Linked DNA regions of Cricetulus griseus. The main gene of each other region encodes a partner of the protein of the gene in region 3 in a complex. Links are inferred from orthologs where the notes say so. Each region holds a gene or a part of one and is shown on either strand. Other genes may lie near its edges. The genes, in order: Senp2, Uspl1, Sumo3 and Senp1.

Region 1 (3,789 bases), on a different chromosome or scaffold from region 3:
CTATGGCAACAGCAGATTTCTTAATGTTCAACAGCCAGAATCAAATGTGTGATGATACAGTTTATGATATTATGAACTAATGAGGTGTTTGAGCAACAGTGGTCCATACTGCATCAGCAGCACCAACCATTTCACTACAGGCTTGTTCTCAAGATACAATACATGTACTATGCACTGTGTGTGCCATCACACACCAACCACCAACCAATGCTGACCGAAACGCCTCACCTCAGACTGGAGACTACTGTACATTATGAATTTCACTGCTTTTACTGTACAGTTTTCTGCTCCTATAGAAACAAATTTGTCTAATTATAGAAAAAAGACTTTTACTATTTTTTTATCCAGCATAAAAGTTTCAAATGAATATGTCTCTGGTTTGTATTACGTTAGAATGTCTGATTTTATTTAAAAATTGCTGTTTGGGCCGGGCGTTGGTGGTGCACACCTTTAGTCCCAGCACTCGGGAGGCAGAGGCAGGCAGATCTCTGTGAGTTCAAGGCCAATCTGGTCTCCAGAGAAAGTGCCAGGATAGGCTCCAAAGCTACACAGAGAAACCCTGTCTCAAAAAACAAAACAAAACAAACAAACAAAAAATGCTGTTTGGGCTGGGCAGTGGTGCTGCACACCTTCAATCTCAGCACTCAGAAGGCAGAGACAGGTGGATCACTGTGAGTTCCAGAATGAGTTCCAGGACAGCCAAGGCTACACAAAGAAACCTTGTCTAGGAGCTGAGCAAGATGGTTCACCTAGGTAGCTGCTGCCAACCCTAACCACTTTAAGTTCAATACCCAGGACCCACTTTTTATTAGAAAATGTTTGATTGCCGGGCGTTGGTGGTGCACGCCTTTAATCCCAGCACTGGGGGGGGGGGGGCAGAGGCAGGTGGATCTTTGTGAGTCTGAGACTAGCCTGGTCTACAAGAGCTAGTTCCAGGATAGGCTCCAAAGCCACAGAGAAACCCTGTCTCGAAAAAAACAAAAAAAAGTTTGATTATATACTATTTTATGTACCTAGGAACACACAGAAATTTCTCAGATGAAAAGGGAAGTGGGGAATGTTTAGGAAGCCCACTCTATACCATCATCCATCTATAGGTATTTCCTGTCCGATTAGCAGACTACAAGGACAGGAGAATACTTACATCCAAGTAACAATTGTTTTACTTAATAATGGCCCCTGAAGGCAAAAGTAACAATGCAGAGGAGGTTCCTGACCCATGGGAAGCATGAGTTTTCATACAAAACACAGTTTTCATACGAAACACAGTCCACACAGGGGGGTCTGCACTGCCTGTAGTTGTAGACGCTCACCCGGAACATACACCTCATCACAACGGGACTACTGTATTTGGAACACTTGCCTGCACAAACCAGACACTTTTAAATATCCGAGTTCTATGAAATGAGCCCCACTCTCAGAAAATACAGAGACACAAGCTGACTTTAGGATTACAGGCCAAAACTCCCAGGATAACAATTTAAATTCAAAGAAATGCAATTCCAGTTAGGATTCTAGCAAATACACCTAACACTGAAACACCTGCAAAGTTGCCTTCCAGGATCCAGAAAACAAACTCTCAGCTGAGATCAGTTCCTAGGTTAGTTTTAGACAAAAAGGTGGAGCTAATGAAGTCCTGAAGACAAACACTTCATATCATAGCATATTACTTCGTAACTACATGTTAAAACAGCCACCCAGAGAGCCTAGTATTAAACAGAGGAGAGATTATCCAATGGAGGAAAACCAGCACAGCAGTGAGACTTTCAGACTTTACTTACAGAAGAATCTCACAGATCCTGTGGCCTTTTTGTCCCATAGAATCCAGATATTTAAGACACTTTTTTCTTAGGTCCATCACCTATATGGGAAAAGGCAAAAGTTCTTAGACAGTCATCCTTTTGTGTCATTTGAACCCAGTCTGGGTAAACGCCAGCTCCTCCCCCTCAGCCTCCTAAGTTCTAGGATCACAGCAGTGCTACCATACCATGCCAGCAACACTGTACACAGGGATAGTAGCACTTTAAAGATTTTAACACAGAGCAATACAAACAGGGTTAGGAACTTTTAGTTAAAGTTGTAAAACATCTCAAAACAGTTTGAGATTAACAGGACATACTTCAATTCCTATACAAAGGCCTAGAAGCTGTCTGTCCATCAGGCATCAATGATTCTCCTGGCATGGGATTCCGGCCCTGCACCTTTCCTCAAGGCATGCCTTTGACAGCTACAAGCTCTTAAAGCTGAACAAATCAACGCTTAGAGAGGACTCTGCAGAGCTTGCCTCTCACACTGTTAGCCTTTCAGTCACTGAAGAATGAGTGACAGCCGCCTTCACAGTTGAGGACAGTCATCTATACTAGAGGTACTATTAGCAGAGGAGTCCTTTCCTAGTATGTATGAGGTTCAGGGACTGATTCCCAAGGCAAGAAAGGAAAGAAAATGGAGACATAGCAAAAGGGGGAGAAGAGAAGAGAGAAAGAGGAAGGAGAGGAGAAGAGAAGGTCAGGGAAAGAAGGGAGGAAAGGGAGGGAGAAGAAAGAAGGGGAAGGAGAGAGGAAGAGAACAACGAGTCTATAACCAAGCTCCAAAAATCAACCCTCTCACTCACCACTAGGCTCCAATGCACCTTCCGATGAATGGGTACCAGAACAAGTTCTTGTTCAAAGAGATTCACCCCTTTGGTCCATCTTTTCACTGCCTGGTAACCCCCAGACTTTAATTTAGGATAGAAGAATGTACTGAATGCATGAAGTGCTGGATAGCCTTGCTTCTTACTCCTTTCCACTAAAAGATTCATGTAAAAATTAATGACCTGTAAAATACCAAAAGATTAAAATTTGGAACACGGCAAATACATTAAAAAAATGAAATTCCTACCTAAATCAGAAAGTAAGGTGCGTAAGGACAGTCCATGCAAGAAGTCAGAAAACAACTGTTCAGTACAAATGAACAAAGAAAGAAAGATGAAGGCTACAGACTGAGCTCAACAGCAAAGTGCTTGCCTAGGACATGTAAGATTCAATACTGGATTCAATTCCCAGTACTGGACCATCTCCCTAAATAAAACCCAGCAGTCATGTGACTATAATTCTGAAGCACGAGTCACATTTCCACACAGTAATGAAAAGGCATATACTACTGTTACGCAGAAAAATTAACTACTAACTATAGCACTACCTCCAAAATATACCTCAATTCGGATATTTCCTGGAAGGAGAAATGCCAAAATATGGAACTTTTGAACAATAATTTCTTCAAATATAAAGTTTTCAAAAATTTTATAATAAGCATATTTACACTTACATTACATTTACAAATGGAAGTATTTTCATGTAACTAGGCTTATGACATAGGAAGGCAGAGTAAATGAGAAAATTGAAGGACAGAGCAGTTGGGTTAACTGAAAATGTAGTAAGAACTAAGCCAGCTTTTGCAGAATATGTACTGATACAGACAACAAATGGAGTGACATTTTATATTTATCATTTGCCATGGTTTGAACACACATACCAAAAGTTCTTTAAGCTTTAACTATGTGCATATATGTGGAAAAATGCATGTTGAGTGCAGGCTCCCATGGAGGCCAAAGATATAAGATCCTCTGCAGCTGGAGTTACAGGCTGTTAAGTCAAAGGAGTTTTGTGCTGGGAACCAAACGAGGGTCCTCAGAAGAGCAGCAGGCACTCTTACCTGCTGAATCATCTCTTTTGTCCTTTCTCTAAAACACTTACACAGGAACCTAAATGCTCAGTGTGACAGCAGTAGGCAATGACTCACTCATGAGCT
Region 2 (4,283 bases), on a different chromosome or scaffold from region 3:
AAACATTCTAAAACTGTGGTCTTGAAAGTCCCTAAATGTATTTAGATATTTACAAATGGACGAGAAATCAGAGTGATCACAGGGTACATTTTCCTACATACAGAAAATTACAATTTCATAGAGGCAGCGACTGGTTAAGCAAGTTAGTCAACAAAGTCTGAGAACCTAAGCTTTTCAGTCTATGCACAGTTTGATGCAACCATGCCAGCATTAAAAAGAACATGAACCTTCCAGGCCTACTGATCTAGCAAAACAAGAACAAACAAACCACACATTTTATGTCTTCCTACAGTTCTCAACCACTAACTCTTCACCAGTTGGGAATATTTTTTTGTTTGAAGACAGAGTCTCACTAAGTAGCCCTGGCTGGCCTGGAACTTGCTATGTATGTAGACCAGGCTGACCTTGAACTCTGCTTGCTTCTGCCTCCTAAGCACTGGGATTAAAGGCCTGCAACTATAACTAGCAGAATACTACATTTAAAACGTTACCAACAAAATAGTATGATCTTTGTAATGATCTGTATCAGAACAAAAATTAAGTCCATCTATAGTACATGTAATAAGCATGTACTTAGTATAGTGCCACAGAGTTGACCCCATTTGGAAGATTCAGGACACAACTCAACACAAGAAAACCAGATCTAAAAGACCTTTAGGCAGAGATAGGTTAACATTTGGTCACAGAGTTGAAACCTCAAGCATAAATCTTGACAAAACCTAAATTTTGCATGGTCTACAGAGCCAAGTTCTAGGATAACCATAGGGACATACAGAGAAACTGTCTCAAAACAAACAAACAAAAAGATATATACATCCACACAAATATATACATGCAGTGTGAAAATCTGTGACCACACCTGTAACCACAATACTTGGGAGAGGGAGAGGGGGAAAGGGAGGGAGGGAGGGAAAGTAGGAAGGGAGGGTGGTCGAGCGAGCAGTATTATTGAGTCTCAGTTTCCACAACCTTTAGCTGGTTCTACTCATAACCTATTCACAAAAAAAAAAAAAAAAAAGGAATTACAGGACATAGGAAAGCCAACCCCAATGATTCAGAGTGATACATAGCCTATGCTATGTACCTAAATTTGTTCTAAGAAGTAAATGAAGCCATGCTAACATCTAAGTTACAGTTATCATGTGATGCTATTTCATGATGAGGGAAACAGACAAGTGCACCTTCTGTCAGTCTGCATTAACTCTCAGAAGAGAAACCTGCAGGCTCCTCAATAAATTGTTCATGAAACTTTTTATCTACCTGAAGGTCTAGGAAACTGTTTGGAATGGTTCTTTCTCAATATAGAAGTAGAAATGAGAATCCTTCAAACCTGCTCTCCTGATCCTATCATCCACTATTTCAACAGGAAGGCACGGCACATCCCAACATGGTGGTACATGCCTTTAAGCCTTTAATTCCAGCACATGGATCTCAAGCAAGATAGTGGTAGAAACACCAAACAATATTAAGACACTCTTTTTCTGCCAAAGAATATTCATGTTTAAAATTCCAGAAGTAGGCTTTCCAGATCTTTATTTATTTGTTTGTTTATTGTTTTTTCAAGACAGGGTTTCTCTGTGGCTTTGAAGGCTGTTCTGGAACTAGCTCTTGTAGACCAGGCTGGTGATGAACTCACAGAGATCGGCCTGCCTCTGCCTTCCGAGTGCTGGGCTTAAAGGCCTGTGCCCCCACCGCCCTGTGGCATTCCAGGTCTTTAACTCCATCTTATATACAAAATCCTGGGGTGGTTCTTACACCTCAATTGTCCCATGACAACTATCTTCATTATCTTTTCTTCAAAAGTATCCTGACCCTCCCTGTATGGTGCTTAAATTTGGCATCTTTGGGCTTCCAAAGAAAAGTTTGACTCTGCTACTCCCATCTTTCTCATGGATGCACAGTGGATGGTGCCTTGGAAATGTTTGAACCCGTCTCTCTTTCCATTGATACCACTGTCAAAAAGACAGTTCAGCTTCAAATCACCTACTTAATCCAAAGCTCAATACAACCTAAATTTGTTCTAAGAAGTAAATGAAGCCATGCTAACACCTAAGTTAGTTATCATGTGATGCTATTTCATGATGAGGGAAACAGACAAGTGCACCTTCTGTGAGCTTGTTACAAGGTGGAGACCAACCACGTTTCCCAGCCTTCATCCCCAGCACTTTCCCTCTCACACCCAGCTCCCTTCAACGTCGGTAAGCCATGGGCATTCCAGAGACCCTAACGGGAGTAATCAGCCTAGAACGGATCCAGTTAGCAAGCAATCACGAGAGGGACGTGATTAATTAAATTTCACTCACTGCATGTGTAATGTGGAAACCTGTAATAGGTTCTCGAAGAAGGGCCTTGTATCCGTCGGTGCTTTACCTCCCGGCTAGGCTAACGAGCTGTGCAAGGCAAGGCCAACAGACTTAAATCCGAGGCAAGGGGTTGGCTTTCAGAGTCCAGTTCGCTTGGTACCCAACCCAGCTTCCCGAATTTGAGACGGAAAGGGCCACGCGACGTGAGCTTCCAAAGCCAACCAGGGAAGCCCAGGAGGCGCGGCGTTCCGTTACCCTGCCCATCTCCACGCTTTTCGTGGGGCGGACACAAACTCTGGTTTCTATTCAGCGTTTACCTCTTTAAGCCCAAACGGACCCTGATCCCAGTCGGCACCTCCATCCTTCCCACCTAAACCTTGTGCCCAGCCCAGCCTTTCACCATGCCAACGACCCACCCCGAGCACTCCAGCCGGCCCAATTTCTACTTCCAGAGACAATTACTCTCTCTCCCTTACCGGCCCGAAGTACAGCCCTTCTTCGTGTAGAATCGGTCCGAACTCCTGTTCCAGCTTGAGCTCCACACCATCTACCCGTAACGTTCAACCCACGTTCCCCTCGGACGACTCCACCCCCACCGCCGTCTCCGCTAGGAAAACAACTTCCGCTTGGGCGTCCGCAGCCCAAGAGCCTCCCCCCGTATCACCTTCCTGAAGAGCGCGCCGCTTGAAAGCACGCGGGTAGGGCAGGGGAAGGAGAAGACGAGAACACTTCCGGCAAGGCTCCGCAGAGGCGTGGTTTGTCTTCCCTTCAGGCGCAGGCGCAGTCGGAACTGCGGCGCCAGGAGGGGCGGGACCCATAGCTGCAGAGCCCGCTAAGTGTGACTGAGGGGAGAGGAGGAGGGGACGGTTCTGGAAGCTGCTGGAAAGCGCCCGAGTGACGGAGGTGACGCCAGCGGCCAGGGGGCGGAGCGTGATTAAAATTAGTGCGCGGCCCTGAGCGGAGGGATTACGCGGCTGAGGAAGGAGTGGTCGCCCGGCGGCGGCGTGCGCGCAGGCCCAGTGACCTGCGTGTGGTCCCCACTGGCCAGCCATCATGGCGGCCGCTTCCCATAGTTCGTTCTCCCGGCCGCGGCGCCACCGTACGTGTTCACAAAGGGTCACCACACACGGAGCTGCCCCTCCCTTCCCTAAACCCCTCCTCGGAGGCCAGGGGCTTTTCCTTGCTTCCCTCTCAGATCTGCTCACGGTAAGGGGAGTAGCGAAAGACAAGCACAGGGCCGTACGTGGTTAGCCTTGACCCGGGGTGGCACCGAGCAGCCGACCTGCGCATCTCAGCGGCCCTGCCTCCTCTAACTTGAGAGGAGGGGAGTTCTCGAGTTGCTAAGTTTTTAGAACTGCCTTCGCAGGAAGGTCATGTGGTGTGAGGGACGTCCGCACTGAATGCGTTCTTGAGGACATCCTATTCCTTGGAGTCCTTTGGGTCGATCGTTTCCGTGGCCTGGGACAACGATTTGGATTTTCGGACCCTTTCTTACAGGAATCATGACTGGCATTTTGGACTGCGGTTCTGTGGGGTTTCCTAAGTGGCCTTAAAGGACTGTGTTCTGGCAGAATGCTGATAGCGTGCTATTGGGGGGGGGGGGGACAAGTACGCTGGAGAAAGAAATTATTCAATAAAAGAATTTCAGTTTGTGGTACTTAGGAATGCAAATCGCTGATCCGTCCAACAGAGACTGTTAGGGTTTTTTTTCTCCCTCAAGACAAAAATAAACTGGTTAGGTTTTGCTTTTTTTTTTTTTTTTTTTTTGCGTTTGCATTTGCACTACATAATGTACTGGTGTATTTGTTGTAAGATTGAACTAGTTAAGATTTCTTTTTATATGGATTATGAAATTTTGAGAAAGTATTTTTAACTGAAATAGTAGCCAAGATTAACAGGATTATTTCTTGTTCAACATGTTATTTCCATTTTTAGAATGGAGTAGACTTACTCACCCTCCATAAACACTTGCTGAATGTC
Region 3 (3,789 bases):
CCAGCGGATCCCTCAGAGTCCCCCAGTGTTCCTCTGGTTCTCCACTCTTGGTTTTATGTGGCTTTTCTTACCAGTCTTATAAAACCATGCAAATGTGTTTACCAGTCTCATAAGTCTTGTTTGTTTGTTTGTTTTTGTTTTTCGAGACAGGGTTTCTCTGTATTTTGGTGCCTGTCCTGGAACTTGCTCTGTAGACCAGGCCGGTCTCGAACTCATATACGCCTGCCTCTGCATTCCGAGTGCTGGGATTAAAGGCGTGTGCCACCAACACCCGGCCTCATAAGTCATTTTTAAAATAAAGATGGGTTTTCTTTGGCTTCCTAGATCTAATGAGTAGATTTTTGTCTTTGAATTGGTTGTCTGTGAGGACACTGGCTTTGTACCACTGTTTCTGTCACGGTGCTTAACAAATGTAGGTTAAAAATAAATTCTGTGTAAAAATAAGACAATCACACGAGCAGTGCTGCTGGGGGAGTCTTAAGAATTAGGTAGGTTTTAAAGACTTGAAACAACAACTCTTACCTAAGGACTTACGTTTTAAACCCTGGTGGTTCTGAGCTGGCTTTGAGTCCCAATTCCTGTGTCTTTCAGGAGGGAGTGAAGACAGAGAATGACCATATCAACCTGAAAGTTGCGGGGCAGGATGGCTCAGTGGTACAGTTCAAGATCAAGAGGCACACCCCACTGAGCAAGCTGATGAAGGCCTACTGTGAGAGGCAGGTAGGTAGAGCCCCATTCGGGGTGGGGAAGTCCTGTGGGGTCTGCTTGTGTTGCAGGTGTGCCCTTGCTGCCCTGGGTTTTGCTAGCTGCATGTCTCTTATAGTGTGTCTTCTCCCCGGCCGGTTTCCTGCAAATGGCAAGGTGGAGTTTGAGGCTTGAGCAGGCTCCAGTGTGGGTTTGCTTCCTCATAGACACCATCATGGTGGTGGTAATTACAGTCCATCAGCCAGCACATGGGTCCCACCTGGGTCTGGTGGTGATGTTCTGTGGTGTGTGCAGATAAGGATCAGTGCTGATTCCAATTCCTCCCTCTGATATCCATGCAATTACGCTTGTTTGTGCCGACCTCATGGGCAATTTGATTTTCTGTCTTATTTAGGGAATCGAGGAAACACTTTATCTTCTCCCTAATTACCATTTCAAAATAGCATGCTGACTGACCTTTGTCCCCAACAGTGACCAGCTGGGTTGGTCATTTCTGCTCGCTGTTGTCAGTGTCGGTGTGGACTCATGGCTCTGGCACACATGATGCTTGGGTTCATCCATCTAGTTCATTCTCACTAAGGACCTTTTGGCATGTGGGTATGCTCCAGCCCACCGGGAGCCCTTGGATTCCTGGTCTTGCTCCTCTGTTGTCTGCCCCAGTGGCTGCCTGGCCTGCTGCACATAGACCTACGTGCCAGTTCCTGTCTGAGCCCTGCCATCTGGTAGGGGGTCCTGCCCTTTGGTGTGGGCAGTGGCATCTCAATATGGTGGTTCAAGGTTGCCCTTAAGTGCTTGCAAACACAGCTGTTTGCTGCCCTTTATCTACTGCCCTGATAGCCACATTCCTGCCTTGGGACTTTGTTGAACGTGCTCTGCCAGGCAATACTGTGCTTTTCCTTCCTGGCTCTCAAGCCCTGCAGACAGTGCACCTGCCCTCTTGTCTTCTAGGTTTTGACCTTGGGTACTTTTCTCACCTGTGAAAGGTGAGACAGAACTTTCTGAGGACGCTGTGTCCCCTGTGCCCTCCCAGCTGAGTCAGCTGCTTGTGCTGTGTGCCACTACTTAGACTGTGCCAGTGTGCAGGGCCCTTCCTTGCCTGTGTTCTGCTCAGTCTGCTTGCTCTCATGTATGTTTCCTTGTACCCTAATCTTCTGCTGAGGCCCCCACATTCAGGGGTGGGAGGCACACTAGATCAGCTGCCTCAATGTTTGGAGCCTCCTGCTGGCCCCACCTAAACCATTGCTTTGGAGTGAGGGTGTCTGCATGATTGCCATCCCATAGCCTTTTGAGAATCATTCTGGAGACTCACGTAGCCTTCCTACTGTATCTGTGTGTGTGTGTGTGTGTGTGAATTCCCCCTCTTTGTGTGGAACATCATCCCTTGTATCTGACAGGGACTTGCATGCTTGGCTGCATGGAGTATTTTCGGCTGAGGTGCACTGCTTTGGGAGGTGCCATAATTCACTGTCATCTCGGCAGGGGCTCTGGAGGTGATTCTTATCCCTCTGGGGAGGTGCTTTCCGGACCCTTTCCAGCTATAACCCTGACTCTGACTGTCCTCACTACTCTGTAGGCAGACATCTGCCTCTGCCGTGTTTCATGTTTGGAGTGCTCGGTCCTCCCGCAGTCAGCCATGCTTGCCTCTGACCATTGTCTTTCCCCTTTGCACTGGGTGCTACTGTTGCTGTCTCTTTGACTTTTCCCTCTCCTTATCTTCCCACTTTATAGGCCATTCTTGCTCGTCATGATTTTTAGTTTCCACAAATTCTGTCTTTTCCTGTTTTGTGTTTTTTTCCCCTAGTAGCAACTTTCTAGAGTGTTCTTGTGTGTGTGTGTGTGTGTGTGTGTGTGTGTGTGTGTGTGTGTGAGAGAGAGAGAGAGAGAGAGAGAGAGAGAGAGAGAGAGAGAGCATGTATAAGTATGTTTTTAGCTTTATTGAAGCTTTAAGTTTTAACTGCTCCACCCCCTTCCTTTTTTTTCTGCCTCATGATATTGAAGAAAAGCAAAATGATGTTACAAAGCCTTTACTAGTAGATTTGCTTAGGAGACATGAAGTCATACAAAGTAGAATTCAGCTAAAGGAGCACTGCCTCCAAAATACCCCAAAGATAAGTAGTATTCTAACCAGGCCTGTTGGATAAGAGAAATGTAGGATGCTAGGATGTAACTGCTGATTCATCAGGATTGACCATTGGGCTCTATTCCCTCAACAAAGGAGACAACCTGACTTAGAACCAGCTTGTTAGTCCAATCCCCATATCAAATACCATGCTTCTACAATGCAGCACAAGGGGCCCAGCACGGCCACAACCGTGTTAAGTCTTAGCCTGCCATAATGCCCCCAGTTCTCACTGGAAAATGTATAATCTGTCTGGTGGACAAGACCACCCCAGGTAACAACTATTTGAAAGAACTGCACTGACATGCTTAAAGTAATTCTGGCAATGTGCAGCACCTTTGCTGTGTAAGCCTCACATCTGCCTGAGTGTCCAGACTGAATCTCCTGTCTGTTTATGTTGTTCAAAGTGTGACCTGGTGACCTGACAGAGATTTGAGGATGACATCATATGTGAAATCCATAAGCCTCGGGTGTATATGAGTTAGTAAAATCTTCTATATGAGGCCTCCCCTTTGGGCATTAGCCAGAGCCAGACACATGCTATTTTATTAAAGAGCTTTTCCCTCACCTCTAAGTGTGTGGAGTGATTCTTCACTGGGAAAGCATGTCACTTCTGTAACATGCTCTTCCCCTGGTCTGTTTTCACATGTTAGGGTCTTTTTTTCCCCTTCTTTTTGTTTGTTTTTTTTTAAAGACTTATTTATTATGTACACAGTGCTCTGTCTGCATGTATCCCTGCAGGCCAGAAGAGGGCACCAGATCTCATTACAGATGGTTGTGAGCTACCATGTGTTTGCTGGGAATTGAACTCAGGATCTTTGGAAGCACAGGCAGTACTCTCAACCCCTGAGCCATCTCTCCAGCCCCATAGGGTCTTTTCTTAAATGTCCCCAGCTTCTGCTTGTATTTTAAGAGTGAAGCAGTGAACCACCGCAGGAAAGAGAGTATGGCGGAGGCTGCACGTC
Region 4 (4,327 bases), on a different chromosome or scaffold from region 3:
ACAGATTAGAATAATCCATAATTGAAATTGAAATCAACACCCGTCCCATGTTCCATAAATATTGTTCTCACTCAACTCCCAAGTCTTATTTGCCTGGGACAAGGATAACATCTCCCTTATACTTGCACAACGAAAAGACATAACACAGTGACATTCTTTTTCAAACTAGGAATAGAAATAAACTGGTCAGTTGACCCCTTAAGTCTATGATTATACCAGAAGCTCTCATCCTGTATAGCTCTGAGAAACTCATCCCTTGCCACTGTAGCTTAATCAATGGTACCTGTGTTCTGAGCATTCCTGACTACTCGTCGAGCCTTAATCACACACATGAAAAATTTCACACGAATGTTGTTTTTACTCATGGCTATTTCCTAGAAATAAAGAGAATTTGATCCAAATAAATAGATGTAGAACAAAGTGTCAAAGGTTGACATGGTCTAGGGATACTTAATACTGCTGGGTTTTAGGACTTGGCCATATAAAAAATCAGTATATAAGGTGATATCATAATCTACTTTTATATATACAAGTCAGGATCCCCGAACAAGCAAGTTCAGATCCTTCCCTTTCCCAGTTGCTGATAGTATGGAAAAGGCTGCGAGCTTCAGAGGTTTTCCCTACTTCAAGACTGAATTCAGACAGGCAGTTAACTGGGTCTAGAATTCTGAAGCACCTCTCCAAGGCTTCTAAGTAGGGTCTGACCCAGAGACCTACTAAATTAGGGAGCTTGGTAAATAATTTGAATGAACAAACTTAAAAGTTTGGCATAGATTACATGTTTAAGACCTCTGGTGTGCCCCATTAGAAATCACTGATTTAAATTCCTCCAGTTACTTAAGGTTCTGCAGGCTGTTAGAGTCTAAGCTAAGATGTTCCCGGAGTTTCTCTTCCCAGTCTCTGGTTGCTACCCCAGCCCTACTTCCTGTGATCAATCAAGCGCAACAAGATGCACACTAATTTCCAGAAGATATAGTTTGAAATCGACTTAGATCTCAAATCCTCATTTGTCAAGGAAGGCACAACTATGTAAAGCCACAGCGAAAAGCTGCCATGGAAACCTGAACCTAAGCAAAAAAAAAAAAAAAAAAAATCAACGAACGGAACCAGAAGACAGCGGGTAAGGGAGCGGAGGGACAGAGAAAATCAAAGGACGGTGGGCGCACTAACAGCACTCCAAGTGTGAGAAAGAAGAAAAGATCAGTCTGGGCCTGACGGGGCGATTAAGACTAGACTCAAACGCTTCCTTGGCTTCTCAGCCTCGCCACCTCGCGCAAGCGTCCCCCGAGTCCGTAACTCTGCTCTTTGACCTCTTGCCCCACCCCCTTTCTTCCTCGGCGGCTGCCCAGCCGTCTTCCGGTGCCGTAAAGACGGTTCCGGTTCACGGAGGTTCCCGGGCTTTGCGTTCTGAGCCCGGCCGGAAACTCCTTTGCCTAGCAGCCGGTTCCGGTTCGGTGAGTGGCGGCGGGAAACTGGGGGAGGGGTGAGGATGGAGGGAGACTGGGCCGGGAGTCTGTGTCGGACCGGGCCCGCCGGCCTCCGCGGGGCTGAGCGGAAGCGAGGACCGCGGTGGGGACTGTGCTTTTTCTTCCGCCCCGCCCCCTGGGACCACCTCCACTCCCCCCTGCTGTCCGGTGGCGGCTGTCTGACCCGGGGCTGGTAGCTGGGCTTCCTGAGGCCGCCCTTTGAGGCCTCCGTCTCCTGACCCGCGGAGAGGCCGTCTCCCGGCGGTCACAGCAGGCCCCTCTCAGCGCCCAGCTCTACTTCTCCACAGAGAAAAAGGCCGGTTGGGATTCCTGGAGTTTCCCGCCAGAGCAGGGTCCCCTCCAAGGGAGAGAGAGAGCTGTTTCCACCAAGAAGTTCAGCTTTCAATCCCACCTGCTTCACCTGTCTTCTTTGAGACCTGAATGATACTTCTCGACTACTTCTGTGTCCCACGCAAACAATTCTACAACTCTTTTACCCTGTGGTATTTCCCTGAGATGCGATATCGCTAGTGCCACCACCAGAGAGAAACGTCTGGACCCTCCTGCACAGGTTATGAAAACTCCCTTAACTGCCACAGTTTTCTTCTTACCTGGCTCATCGCCTCTTGGTAATTGTCTTGAACCTTTGCTTCGTGATCTTTCTGGATACGTGCTAGGTTTCCCTGGTCTCGAGCTTGGTGATTTCTGTTTTATCAGTACCTCTACAGTTTTTCTGTTATCTTGTTGGCAATAACTCGCTCCTTTATCACTTTAAACTCACACTTGTTAAAATTATTTAGTTCGTGTGACATACTTCTTGTGTTAGAGCGGTGGTGATTCCTGTAACAATTTCTGTCGTCTTTTATAGCCTGTCAACTGTTTGACTTAAAGTTTTTCGTTGTAATGGGAAATTCTGGATGAAGTAGGTAATATGCATAAGTATTCTCCCTAAAGATCATTTGTATTCAGGATCTAGCCTTTTACCTACATTCAGGACTCTTGCTGACATGTGAAGTACAGTGCCTTTGATGTTACAGTGACACCTTAACGAATGACCTTAATCTTCCAATTAGACTGCCTGCTCCCAGTCCCTGTCCCTTTTAGAGTGCTTCTTCATTCATTCATTTTACCTGATTTCAGTTAATTATCCCAACTGCAAAAGTGGATATCCTGTCACTCATCTGTTGGATTACGTCTAAAGAGGAAGTGGATGAGTAGACAAACAGGTTCTGCCACTTGTGGCTAAAGAGTGATGTAATTTCTTTCTTTCATTGACATCTGTTTCTCCTACTAGTTGTACCAGTTTTGCTGGATCTGTGAATACATCTGGCATCCTTTACTAGCCTATGAATTTATTTATTTGTTTATTTATTTATCTATTTATTTATTTGGTGTTTTGAGACATGGTTTCTCTATAACAGCCCTGGCTGTCCTGGAACTGACTCTGTAGATCAGGCTGGTCTAGAACTCACAGAGATCCACCTGGCCCTGCCTCTGGAGTGCTGGGATTAAAGATGTGTGCCACTACCACCGGCAAGAAAGATTTTCTTAAAAGAAAAAAATTGTCATCCTTGCTAGAATTTGATGACATCTAAGGCTCCTTATCTATGACTTCATGCAGAATCTTGGTTTTGTTGTTGTTTTTTAACTCTCTTCCAACACTATTATAAACGTAGGTACTAGAAGCACACCGCAGAAGCAAGATGTATTGTATTAAGGTGTAAACATAGAGCTCTAGCCATCTAAACATATAAGCCAGGATAGATGACCAAAGCTAGTCGGAGGTTATTTTTCAATTGCCCAGGTAAATCTTTGAATGAGGGTGTTTGAGGGATGTGAGGCTGTGCTGTGCTTCAGATGTGCTCTTGCTGGGGAATTCTTCCTTTGGCCTCATTGGTGTGATTTCATGCAAGTCATTTAACTTTTCTGAATTACTGACTTTGTAGTAGGTTTTCCCCTTCCACATCTCTAAAATGAAAAAGAAATTAACTGGGGTTGTTCTTCTGGATAGCAGATTTTCTTTTCTTTTTGAGAGAGCATCTTGCTGTATAATTCAGAGTGACTCCAAACTTGGAATCTTTCTACCGTCCAAGTTCTGGATACCATACTCTTAAATTGGTCTTTTCCTTCTCCTTTTTTTTTTTTTTTTTTTTTTTTTTTTTTTTTTTTGTGAGTTAGGGTTTCTGTGTAACAATCCTGGATGTCCTGGAACTCCCTTTCTAGACCAGGCTGTCATAGAACTCACAGAGATCTGCCTGCTTCTTCCTCGAAAGCACTGGGATTGAAAGCATGGCCACCACCACCAGGCTGGGCAGTCTTTTTAAAAAAGATGGGTGGAGTGGGCTACTCACAATTAGAAAGTGACCTTGGTTGATAGGCTGCTCACTGAAGCAGCCTTCCTTGTGTGCTCTTTGTTATTGTGACCATTGAAAAAGCCTGTTGACATCTCAGTCCCTTGAATACTTGGAGAATTCAGAATGGCTGTGGACTTGTGAACCAAGTACTCAGTCTTAACTATGGTACTAAAAGTGGGGGTGTGTATACATGTGTGGTTATGTTAATTACGTAGTTCCAAGCAGTTAGGCTCTTAACTACCCCAACCCTTTTCTGGGAAAATTCATTATCTGTAACTTCACTTTCTGCAGTTACAGTTACAGTCAACTGTATTTAGAAAATAGATGGAAAATTCTATATTTTGAGATAGACTATTCATGAGAACACATACACATAGAGTGTGTGTTTTGTTATATAACCCTAGCTGGCCTAGAACTATGTAGACCAGACTGCCTCAAACTTATAGAGATCTACCAGCCTCTGCCTCCCAAATTGTTACTGTTGTTAATCTCTTATTCTAAATTAAA

What was found.
Region 1: the proteins of Sumo3 (region 3) and Senp2 are in contact, whole or in part, in a crystal structure (PDB 2IO1), measured with the Homo sapiens proteins. The link is inferred for Cricetulus griseus from reciprocal best matches to the Homo sapiens genes SUMO3 and SENP2. Residues at the interface, in NP_008867.2 of Homo sapiens: Arg55, Arg58, Arg60, Phe61, Asp62, Gly63, Pro65, Asn67, Asp70, Leu75, Asp81, Asp84, Phe86, Gln87, Gln88, Gln89, Thr90, Gly91, Gly92, Val93, Pro94, Glu95; in NP_067640.2 of Homo sapiens: Gln385, Asp386, Phe393, Lys394, Leu395, Arg396, Trp410, Leu411, Asn412, Asp413, Glu414, Ser439, Thr440, Phe441, Pro444, Lys445, Arg456, Trp457, Lys459, His474, Lys476, Val477, His478, Trp479, Met497, Gln499, Gln542, Asn544, Gly545, Ser546.
Region 2: the proteins of Sumo3 (region 3) and Uspl1 are in contact, whole or in part, in a crystal structure (PDB 7ZJU), measured with the Homo sapiens proteins. The link is inferred for Cricetulus griseus from reciprocal best matches to the Homo sapiens genes SUMO3 and USPL1. Residues at the interface, in NP_008867.2 of Homo sapiens: Gln24, Asp25, Gly26, Ser27, Val28, Arg58, Arg60, Gly63, Gln64, Pro65, Ile66, Asn67, Asp70, Leu75, Phe86, Gln87, Gln89, Thr90, Gly91; in NP_005791.3 of Homo sapiens: Ala234, Cys236, Trp237, Pro321, Gln322, Leu323, Arg324, Met330, Glu331, Ser332, Val334, Phe335, Leu339, Tyr368, Thr378, Thr380, His393, Phe394, Gly395, Pro396, Asn398, Arg407, His421, Val423, Tyr451, Asn454, Asn455, His456, Phe457, His493.
Region 4: the proteins of Sumo3 (region 3) and Senp1 are in contact, whole or in part, in a crystal structure (PDB 6NNQ), measured with the Homo sapiens proteins. The link is inferred for Cricetulus griseus from reciprocal best matches to the Homo sapiens genes SUMO3 and SENP1. Residues at the interface, in NP_008867.2 of Homo sapiens: Gln24, Ser53, Arg55, Gln56, Arg58, Arg60, Asp62, Gly63, Pro65, Asn67, Thr69, Asp70, Gln74, Glu76, Asp84, Phe86, Gln87, Gln88, Gln89, Thr90, Gly91, Gly92; in NP_001254523.1 of Homo sapiens: Gln440, Asp441, Glu446, Arg449, Leu450, Thr451, Lys455, Trp465, Leu466, Asn467, Asp468, Glu469, Asn494, Thr495, Phe496, Lys500, Arg511, Trp512, Lys514, Lys515, His529, Gly531, Val532, His533, Trp534, Gln597, Gly600, Ser601, Asp602, Cys603.

What each region holds. Positions count from the first base shown.
Region 1 is NC_048597.1:66,883,193-66,886,981, forward strand, and holds part of Senp2 (sentrin-specific protease 2), read right to left. Parts: intron 2,816-3,789; coding exon 2,612-2,815; intron 1,862-2,611; coding exon 1,782-1,861; intron 1-1,781. UniProt on the Homo sapiens protein: Protease that catalyzes two essential functions in the SUMO pathway.
Region 2 is NC_048597.1:84,997,625-85,001,907, reverse strand, and holds the start of Uspl1 (SUMO-specific isopeptidase USPL1), read right to left. Parts: upstream 2,907-4,283; 5' UTR 2,780-2,906; intron 2,627-2,779; exon of another isoform or gene 2,304-2,626; intron 1-2,303. UniProt on the Homo sapiens protein: SUMO-specific isopeptidase involved in protein desumoylation. Specifically binds SUMO proteins with a higher affinity for SUMO2 and SUMO3 which it cleaves more efficiently. Also able to process full-length SUMO proteins to their mature forms.
Region 3 is NW_023276806.1:261,202,589-261,206,377, reverse strand, and holds part of Sumo3 (small ubiquitin-related modifier 3), read left to right. Parts: intron 1-591; coding exon 592-720; intron 721-3,789. UniProt on the Homo sapiens protein: Ubiquitin-like protein which can be covalently attached to target lysines either as a monomer or as a lysine-linked polymer. Does not seem to be involved in protein degradation and may function as an antagonist of ubiquitin in the degradation process.
Region 4 is NC_048595.1:394,573,952-394,578,278, reverse strand, and holds the start of Senp1 (sentrin-specific protease 1), read left to right. Parts: upstream 1-1,462; 5' UTR 1,463-2,040; coding exon 2,041-2,095; intron 2,096-4,327. Other genes in the region: Pfkm (ATP-dependent 6-phosphofructokinase, muscle type), read right to left, coding at 284-365. UniProt on the Homo sapiens protein: Protease that catalyzes two essential functions in the SUMO pathway.